2 linked regions of the Caenorhabditis elegans genome follow. The protein of the gene in region 2 interacts with the protein of the main gene of each other region in a pairwise test. Each region holds a gene or a part of one and is shown on either strand. Other genes may lie near its edges. The genes, in order: sma-1 and K02C4.5.

Region 1 (3,932 bases), on a different chromosome or scaffold from region 2:
AAAACAAAAAAACAGCAACTACCTGTTCTTCAGGTAATGTTCTAACACTTGGGGTTGGAGATGAAGCTGTTGATTTCATAGATATTGAATAAATTAACTTTTTCGGCATGACTTTTAGAGCAAATATAAACAACTACTACAATCTGACAAAAATATTAGATGTGTTGGCTTGACTATTGGCAAAATTGGGATTTATGTTTCAAACGCGTAATCGGATTATCTTAAAATCCAATCATAATAGGTTTAAACATTCATTTTCGATCTACAGGTTGATGCTACTTTAAAAAGCCTGTCTAGTTCATAAATATAAACTTGCCTGCATTTCGTATTTTCTCATTTTGTCTTCAACGTTGTCTTCAGATACACCGTCGTTCACTCCTTCGCCGTAATACTCGTGCTTCTGATGTTGGTGATAGTCGCGGTACTGGTAGGGTTTTACTTCCCCACTCGATAATCCAGTACTGCTCGTCGCCTGATAGTCGTTCTCCGGTAAAGGATCTCTAGGTGTTCTTCGCAAGTGATCGAAGTCAACGTTTTCGCGACTTGGGGCAATCTCCTTGCGATACCCTTCTACCTTGTCTGAAAAATATACATTTTAGTTGATAAATTTGAAAGTTTCTTGAGTAGTTAAGTGACTAATAGATAGAGAAAAAAGAAAGACAAGTTATATATACATTTCTGAAGAGAATAATGATCAAAATGATATGCAACAGAGACGCCCACGTGGCACAAAAAAGACAAAGATTATTAATATTTGGAATCACATCGTTTTTCAGAGAAAAAGTTTGAACCTAACTTACAATTAAAACGGGAAATTGTATCCAGCAACAAAATACTTTCAAGAAAAGTGAAAGATTTTTGAAATAAAGAAATGTTTCGCCGAACATAAACAGTGAAAGAGTGGCACACGTGGTACACGTGGCATTCCTATGTGTGCGACTATTTTCTGTGTGTGTGGGCAAAGTTCACGTAATAATGTTCACGTGAAATATGACTTATTAAGAATTTGTACGTCGGATGTCGTACGACGACGCGACACAAACAAAGTTAGTAATATTTAACTGGAATCAGAAAAGGCTTACAAAAAAGAAAATGGAATAATTGGAAAGCTTTTCGAATGAAATTTTTTCTGAGAAAATGTTGGAACTATTCTGCAATTAAACAAAAAAGAGACGTGTTTAGCAATCGCTATAAATGTCCAGCAAAAAACATTGACAGATTAAATTTCAAGTAAAAAAGCAGAGAAAGTTCGAAACGTCACGAAAATTTTCAAAATTTTAAAAGTAAGGTATATTGTGGAGGTGGGGGCGTTCCCCGTGTTTATTACATCTGATAACAGCGTCTTATCACTGCGAAAAAGAAGAATGAGTCACTGAAATGTGCTCCGCGGGATGGTTGCTGAACTCATTAGTAAAGACGAACCCAGGGGGCAAAAAGTGAGAACAGAAAATGGATTAGACAACGGAGGGAATGCTATTGGAACTTTGTTTATTTTAGTGAAGCAATCTGTCACAGCATAGAGATCCCAATAAGACAGATACATAAATATCTCATACTTGGTAAATTGCAAATCGAAATGACACAGAGGACAATGATTCACTTTAGAATAGCGACAAAAATATGTGGAAAGAGAAAAAGTACTAAATTGTATTGACACTTCAACACTACCACCTATCACTGTGCCCTTTTCCTTCACGGCTCTATGGACGCTCTACTGATGGTATGCAGTGTTGCATATTTACCCTCTCGCCACTTCCATATAGAGAGAACGAAGAAATAAAGAGAGAAAGGAATGCAGCAGACTGTGAGAATGTGCAAGAATGCATATAACACAACAACACCAAAATTAGCAATATTCATACAATTTTTTACTTCGATCTATTATATATTCAAGCGCCAAAATTTAGAAGACTACTTAACACAAATATAAAAATTTAGAAAATTTGTTTGCAGAAACTAATTTGCACCTACTTTGATGTGCCCAAAATCAAATTAATAATTTCAGAATTTTTTTGAAAAACTTATTACAAAGAATTTAAAATGAAAGAGCACATACCATTGAGATTTCGAACTGTTTTGCCTTCTCCAGGCGAGTAGCTTGCCGCGAACGACACATACGACATGATAAAGCTTCACAATATTAGCAAGAATATATTATGTATATAGCAAAGTCGAAAAATAGTAAGTGGTAGTATTTCCTCCGTTATGAACAGTCTTGACAATCCGTGTTCGATTCTTGTCAGATATGGAGAAAAAGGGTCAAGGAAACACGGCGACACTCGGACAGTAGCCGTGGTGGTTCCTCCTCAGTCTTCAGAAGGTAACTTCTTATATAATCTTTATCTCTTCTGTGTTCAATTGCAACGACGTCCGGCGTTCGTTTATCCTTTGCCGAGTCTCTCTATACAATACTATCCGAATATGATGAGAGAGAGAAAGAAGTAACGGAGAAAGTGTCGGAGACGATTAGAAGACATCCATCGATCGGCGCGATGGATAAAAAGTATCGAATATGTGTATTCGCCTGACGGGAAAAGAACGGAAGGAATGTTCAGCGGCGGCAACAATTGAGTGGTGGCCGAAATGGGCGAGAAATCGAGGATTCCGGTGGCGGAAATTGACAAACACAAAAATAGCTGACCGCCACAGTGGGGCACTTGAGTTCAAACATGTCTGTTTCAAGAGCCAGGAAGAACACCGCTTTTTGTTCTTATCCATGAGCAGCCCACTTATTATTATAGTTTTTTATGATTTCTTGTTTATTGTTGACAATATTTGTTGACTTCTAGAAAAAGACATCATACATGTTCTTGTTCAAAGTTTTGGCAAATTGCCAATTTTCGAAAATGTCGGTTTTTGGAAATGTTTAAAACAATGCCTCATTTTTGGACCTATAAAATGCTTAAAACATAATCCAAATATGAGAATATTAAAATGTTTCGGACTACTTCAAAAATTATGAGTGGAGGACATTTAGTTATTTTGGTGTTTGCCTACAAAAAACTTTTTCAAATAAAAGTCTTATTATGATATTCGTATATTATTTTAGGGAGAGTTTCTGATAGTTAATCCCACTGGAGTTACTTTAAACAGGCATGACAGGAATATGCACAGGCAACTTAAGAATACTAAGTATCTCTGAACAAACGAAAAACTTTAATTACTGTAAAACTTCTAGTTATTCAGAAAATTATTTTAGAACAACTTTTCGACAACGCATATGGATCAATTCTTCAAGGAAAAAACACACCCATTTCTAGGAATTCAATCTATTCATTCAACGCGTGTATACGTTTCCATTTGTGTACTTATGATGAGTTGAGTTCGTCTGTCAACACGGATGCGTCAGAGTTGACGCATTTCGTTGAGGTATACTTGACCATAAACGCCGTCATATTGACAATGATATTGGCATGATTTATGGACGGGTAACAGGTCGACAGGTGTTTTGGGAAACAACTTTTGAAAAGAGAATGGAAATGTAGATAAACAGAGCTGTACTCCCGACTCAAACATTTGCCGAAATCTGAAGCTGACAAAATACGACTAAGTTTCTTTCACAATCGTGTAGTTTACAGTAAAAAAAATCTTTAAAAGAGTACTGAATTTTAACCTACAGTCAACAAACTTTTTGTGGCAAAGAGGAACAGAGAACCAAACAATTCCACGACAACCATAAAAACTGCGAGCCAAAAAATCAAGACTTTGAAAGGATGATAAAACAGTGAGAAAACACACATATTTTGGCAGAAGGCAGTGAAATGAAACGGACAAGAAAAACGTAGGTCTCTCCTTTTTCAAAAGAAAAGTTTCTTTCACCACCTAATTCAGTGTATCTAGTTGTCCGATCAGTCGAATGAAAGACGAAATCTCGACAAAACCGACACCGACAGTCGTCCACTACCACCTTACAAGTAGTATTCTTTACTTTT
Region 2 (3,932 bases):
AGGAACCGCTGAACGAATCGGTGGTCGAGGTGGTTTTAACTGAGTATCCGGTGCAACTGATGGACTTGCCTGGAATTGAAAACTATTATCGGATATTCACAGTCTCCAGAATCGCGTACTTTAAGGCGCACACATTCATTCGGATCAGTCTCACCACGATAATTTTTATGGTAGCTTTTTATCTAGAATTTGTGAACAAAATTCCTCGTTTTCATCGGTTTTACTTTTCGATGCGAGACCCATCCTAATGAATCCATGCTTTTTTGCACCTTTTCAAAAATTGAAATTCATTGGAATGAGATAAATTAAAACATGGAAGCATACTTTTCTGAAAATTCTCTTCATGCCTTCAATAAAAAGTGTTAAATTTGGGTAGTTTTAATAATTTAAAATTTTTCAAACTTATAAAACTTTTAGAAAGCCTCCTTATTTTTTGTTTCATTGTTTCAATCAATAATTTAAAAATAAATAAAATTCAACTAACTTGTAATTGTGCATGAGATCTAATAGCAGGTGGTGTCGGTGGAGTTGACTTAGATCCAGCTAGAACTCGTTCATCCTTCTCAATACATTCAAGAGAAGAACTTGTATTTTTTCGACTTGATCTCAATTCTGATTTTCTTTCAGGAAGTTTTGGAAACCATCTTCTCCCGCTGTTTTCTGTTTCTGAATGTTTTGTTGAGTTCAGATGCGAATGAATTGAATTGAAAAAATGTCGTCGTTTTGGTTTCTCAATTACAGTTCCATCTACAGCCATTTTTGTTCTCAATGATGATCTTGTCTCTCTCATTGCTTTATCCAAATCTACAGCCCCACATGAATAGACATTACACATTTTCCATAAGTTCAAATGTTCATTCTTCTTTGGATCCATATATTTTTTCAAGTTATTCGCCGTTCGACTGTGCACTTTTGCGATTTCTGATAATCTTTTTAGTGGGAGGTCTAGTCTAAAAACTGGTTTATTTTATTATTTGAAGAGATATCAGACAACCGTTCTTCTCACCTCGATTGTGAGAATGTGTCAATGATTGATTGCAGCTTTTGACCATAGTTGGCTTCTGCTTCAGCCCTGTAATTGATTGCAGTTCTAGACGATTGTAAGCTGGATTTAGTTGTAGATCCTATTTAAGCAGTGAGAAAACTCAAACTGGGTTTAGTTGGCAATTTTTTCAAAACTAAAACCAACCAAAATACGAGCAGCCAATGTTGAGAAATGGGGTGCCTCACTATTAGAGAAAATACGAAAATTGTGTTGTTCTCATTGTGATTTTCATATGAGTGCGTAGTACTGAAGGGTATAAAGACATTTTTTAGAACCAGAAAAAAATTTTCCTTTTTTTTCAGAAATCATTCGATCATTCATTCAATAGAAACATTTTTCAGGAATTCAGGAATCAGGAATATCTGACGTGGCAATTTTTTAATCTCGATATCATGGGAAATGTTTTGAAAATGAAAATGCGCATTAAAATATTGAAATTTTAATTCTAAAGCCCCCATTTCATCAATGCGAAAAATGTTTCAAAATCCTTAAACTTACAAATTGGCTGTAAATTCAAGCAATGCATAGTCGTAGCGAGTTGTCATTTGTTCCGGTTGATTACTGAAATAAATGGAATATTTTTGAAATTAAGTTTGAAATATTGAAAATATCGATGACGGATAGTGAGTGACACGGCTGAAATGTCAATTCTCTTGTGATAACAAAATGTGACGCTCGCTCAAACTCTCAAAAAATGAATGATAATCATTTTAAGAGGAAAGGGTGAAGCAAGAGAAAAAGCATTCCTCTTAAAGAGAGGAAAAGTATAAATCGATTGCTTATCATATCACACGGCCTCAATTCATTGTAGAAGAAGATGAGAGAAAAAGGATTCAAAGAGAGGGAACAACGAAAAAGGAGAAAATGATCGATGAGTGATCGTCAAAAAATCTAGGCGATTTGGGGGGACAAACTTTATGTTGGATACAAGAGATAAATGAAGTTAAGGAAAAAACGAGGGCACATGGAATTAAATGGATAGTGATAAGTTTTCATCCGGCCAGTAAATTCCCGTATTGCAACTTTGGTGAAGGTCGTCTAGGTAGGTGAAGGTAGTCAATCCTTTTCTTTTGATCAAAGAAATGTTTTTCAAAATTTTGGAAATTGGAGGTTGTAACAAACGGTGCAGTTTTTATTTCAAAAACACTGGGCATAAATGTTCATGTATAAATTGAAAAAAATCTCTCAATTTTATAGTTTAGACGGCAATAAACTCTACTAAATTTATCAAGTATACAGATGAACATTTACTTTTTTTTAATTTTCAGAGAAGAATTACATATTCATAACATCTGTTATAAAGTTTTGAATGTCTTGAAAATAAAGTTTACAATTTTCTGAACTTTTGGCGCTCTTACTATTAGAGCAAATATGTTTTTTAATGTCAAAAAATTGAGAAAAGAGAATAAGTAAAAATGATGATGTACCAAGAATGTGAAAGATCAGTGATTATTGATAAGGTGATTCAAGTAGTTTTTACTTTTCCCGATTCCTTAGAAGTGATTTTTTTCTGAAATTTCCAGTGATTTTTAATAAGTTCACAAGTTAAGTAATTAAGGAAAAAGACTTTAAAACAGTGGCAAATGTGTGAAAGCCAACATAATAAAAATTGTTAATTCAATTGATTGATCTTACTGGAAGTTCATAATATCAACCAATAATTCATAAAACAGCAATTCGAAAAAATGCCTCAAAAGTTTTATAGAAAATTTTTTTGGCGCTCGTTTCAATGCATTCTAAATCAAGAATAGTATATCCAAAACACATATGTATGTCATCGAGTTTAGTCATCGAAATGGATTTAACAATTATCATGCTTCTTATATGAAAATAATTGCTTATTTCTGGAAATCTCAAAATGAGCTCAACGCGCTGCGGCTCTCGAACAAAATAGCGGGAAACTGAAAGTGCAAATTAAAATAAAATTGAGTAAAGCATAGTCAAATAGAGTCGCCAGAATCTCCATTTCTCAATTCCGAATGACCTTTTCAATGGGAAAAAAGAGGAACGGAATGGGAAAATAGTACACGGAAGAGGGACGCCTGTGGCAGATGGCCTAACCCGATATAATGCTTCATGCACAGTCTCGACGTTTTTTTTGGTTCTTACGGACAGACTGAACCCCCATAACCTATTTCCCAGGTGTCAAAGAGAATATCATGGAATTATAATATTATGACAGTTTTATTTTTCTTTTAAACAAAGATCGTTAAGTGAATCTAAAATAAATCTATCTAAACAACAATAAATTAAGTATTTACATTCGTCATAGGGGTAATGTTATGAAGCTCTCGCTCGGATTGGTTCTTCTGTTTCACTTGACACGAATAGATGTGCTGAAAATTGATAATTATAAAAAATTATATAAAAAAAAGATATCAAAACATTTGAATATAAAATCTAGGTAGGGAAGACTGTGTTTATTCAAATTTGATTTGAAGAATAGCGGTAGACGGCAGTTCTCCAAAGTGACATGCGGTATGTTTTAATTATTTTAATTTAAAACAGAGTACATTAAAAGTTTAGCCTATATTTGAACACCTCAACTTACAGTGACTTCAAATTGATAAAACAAAAACTTACAAATACAAGCATACATCTGCTCAGATTTGCTGAAAAATCGTTGTTCCTCAGCACACAAATAGAAAGTTTTGAAAAATTCGTCTTCAGGTGGCAAGTAAAGATCACATTTCAACTTTCGAGTACATGCATTTCTACCAGGATACAGACATTCAAATACACATTCTCCTTGACGAGCGGCTTTTTTATTCATAAACTGCCTTGATTCATCTGGATTATATATATTTTTAAAGATGAAATGAAACACAATAATACCAAAATCTCCAATTTTGTCTTCAATCGTTGATATCATAATATCACGAAATTC

What was found.
Region 1: the proteins of K02C4.5 (region 2) and sma-1 interact in a two-hybrid assay, tested with the Caenorhabditis elegans proteins (one large-scale study listed by BioGRID).

What each region holds. Positions count from the first base shown.
Region 1 is NC_003283.11:11,897,755-11,901,686, reverse strand, and holds the start of sma-1 (Spectrin beta chain), read right to left. Parts: upstream 2,239-3,932; 5' UTR 2,124-2,238; coding exon 2,057-2,123; intron 1,780-2,056; exon of another isoform or gene 1,608-1,779; intron 580-1,607; coding exon 317-579; intron 1-316.
Region 2 is NC_003280.10:8,076,115-8,080,046, reverse strand, and holds the start of K02C4.5 (FCH domain-containing protein), read right to left. Parts: upstream 1,613-3,932; 5' UTR 1,591-1,612; coding exon 1,544-1,590; intron 1,073-1,543; coding exon 1,007-1,072; intron 951-1,006; coding exon 485-950; intron 70-484; coding exon 1-69. Other genes in the region: K02C4.2 (DUF19 domain-containing protein), read right to left, coding at 3,326-3,381, 3,629-3,835, 3,881-3,932.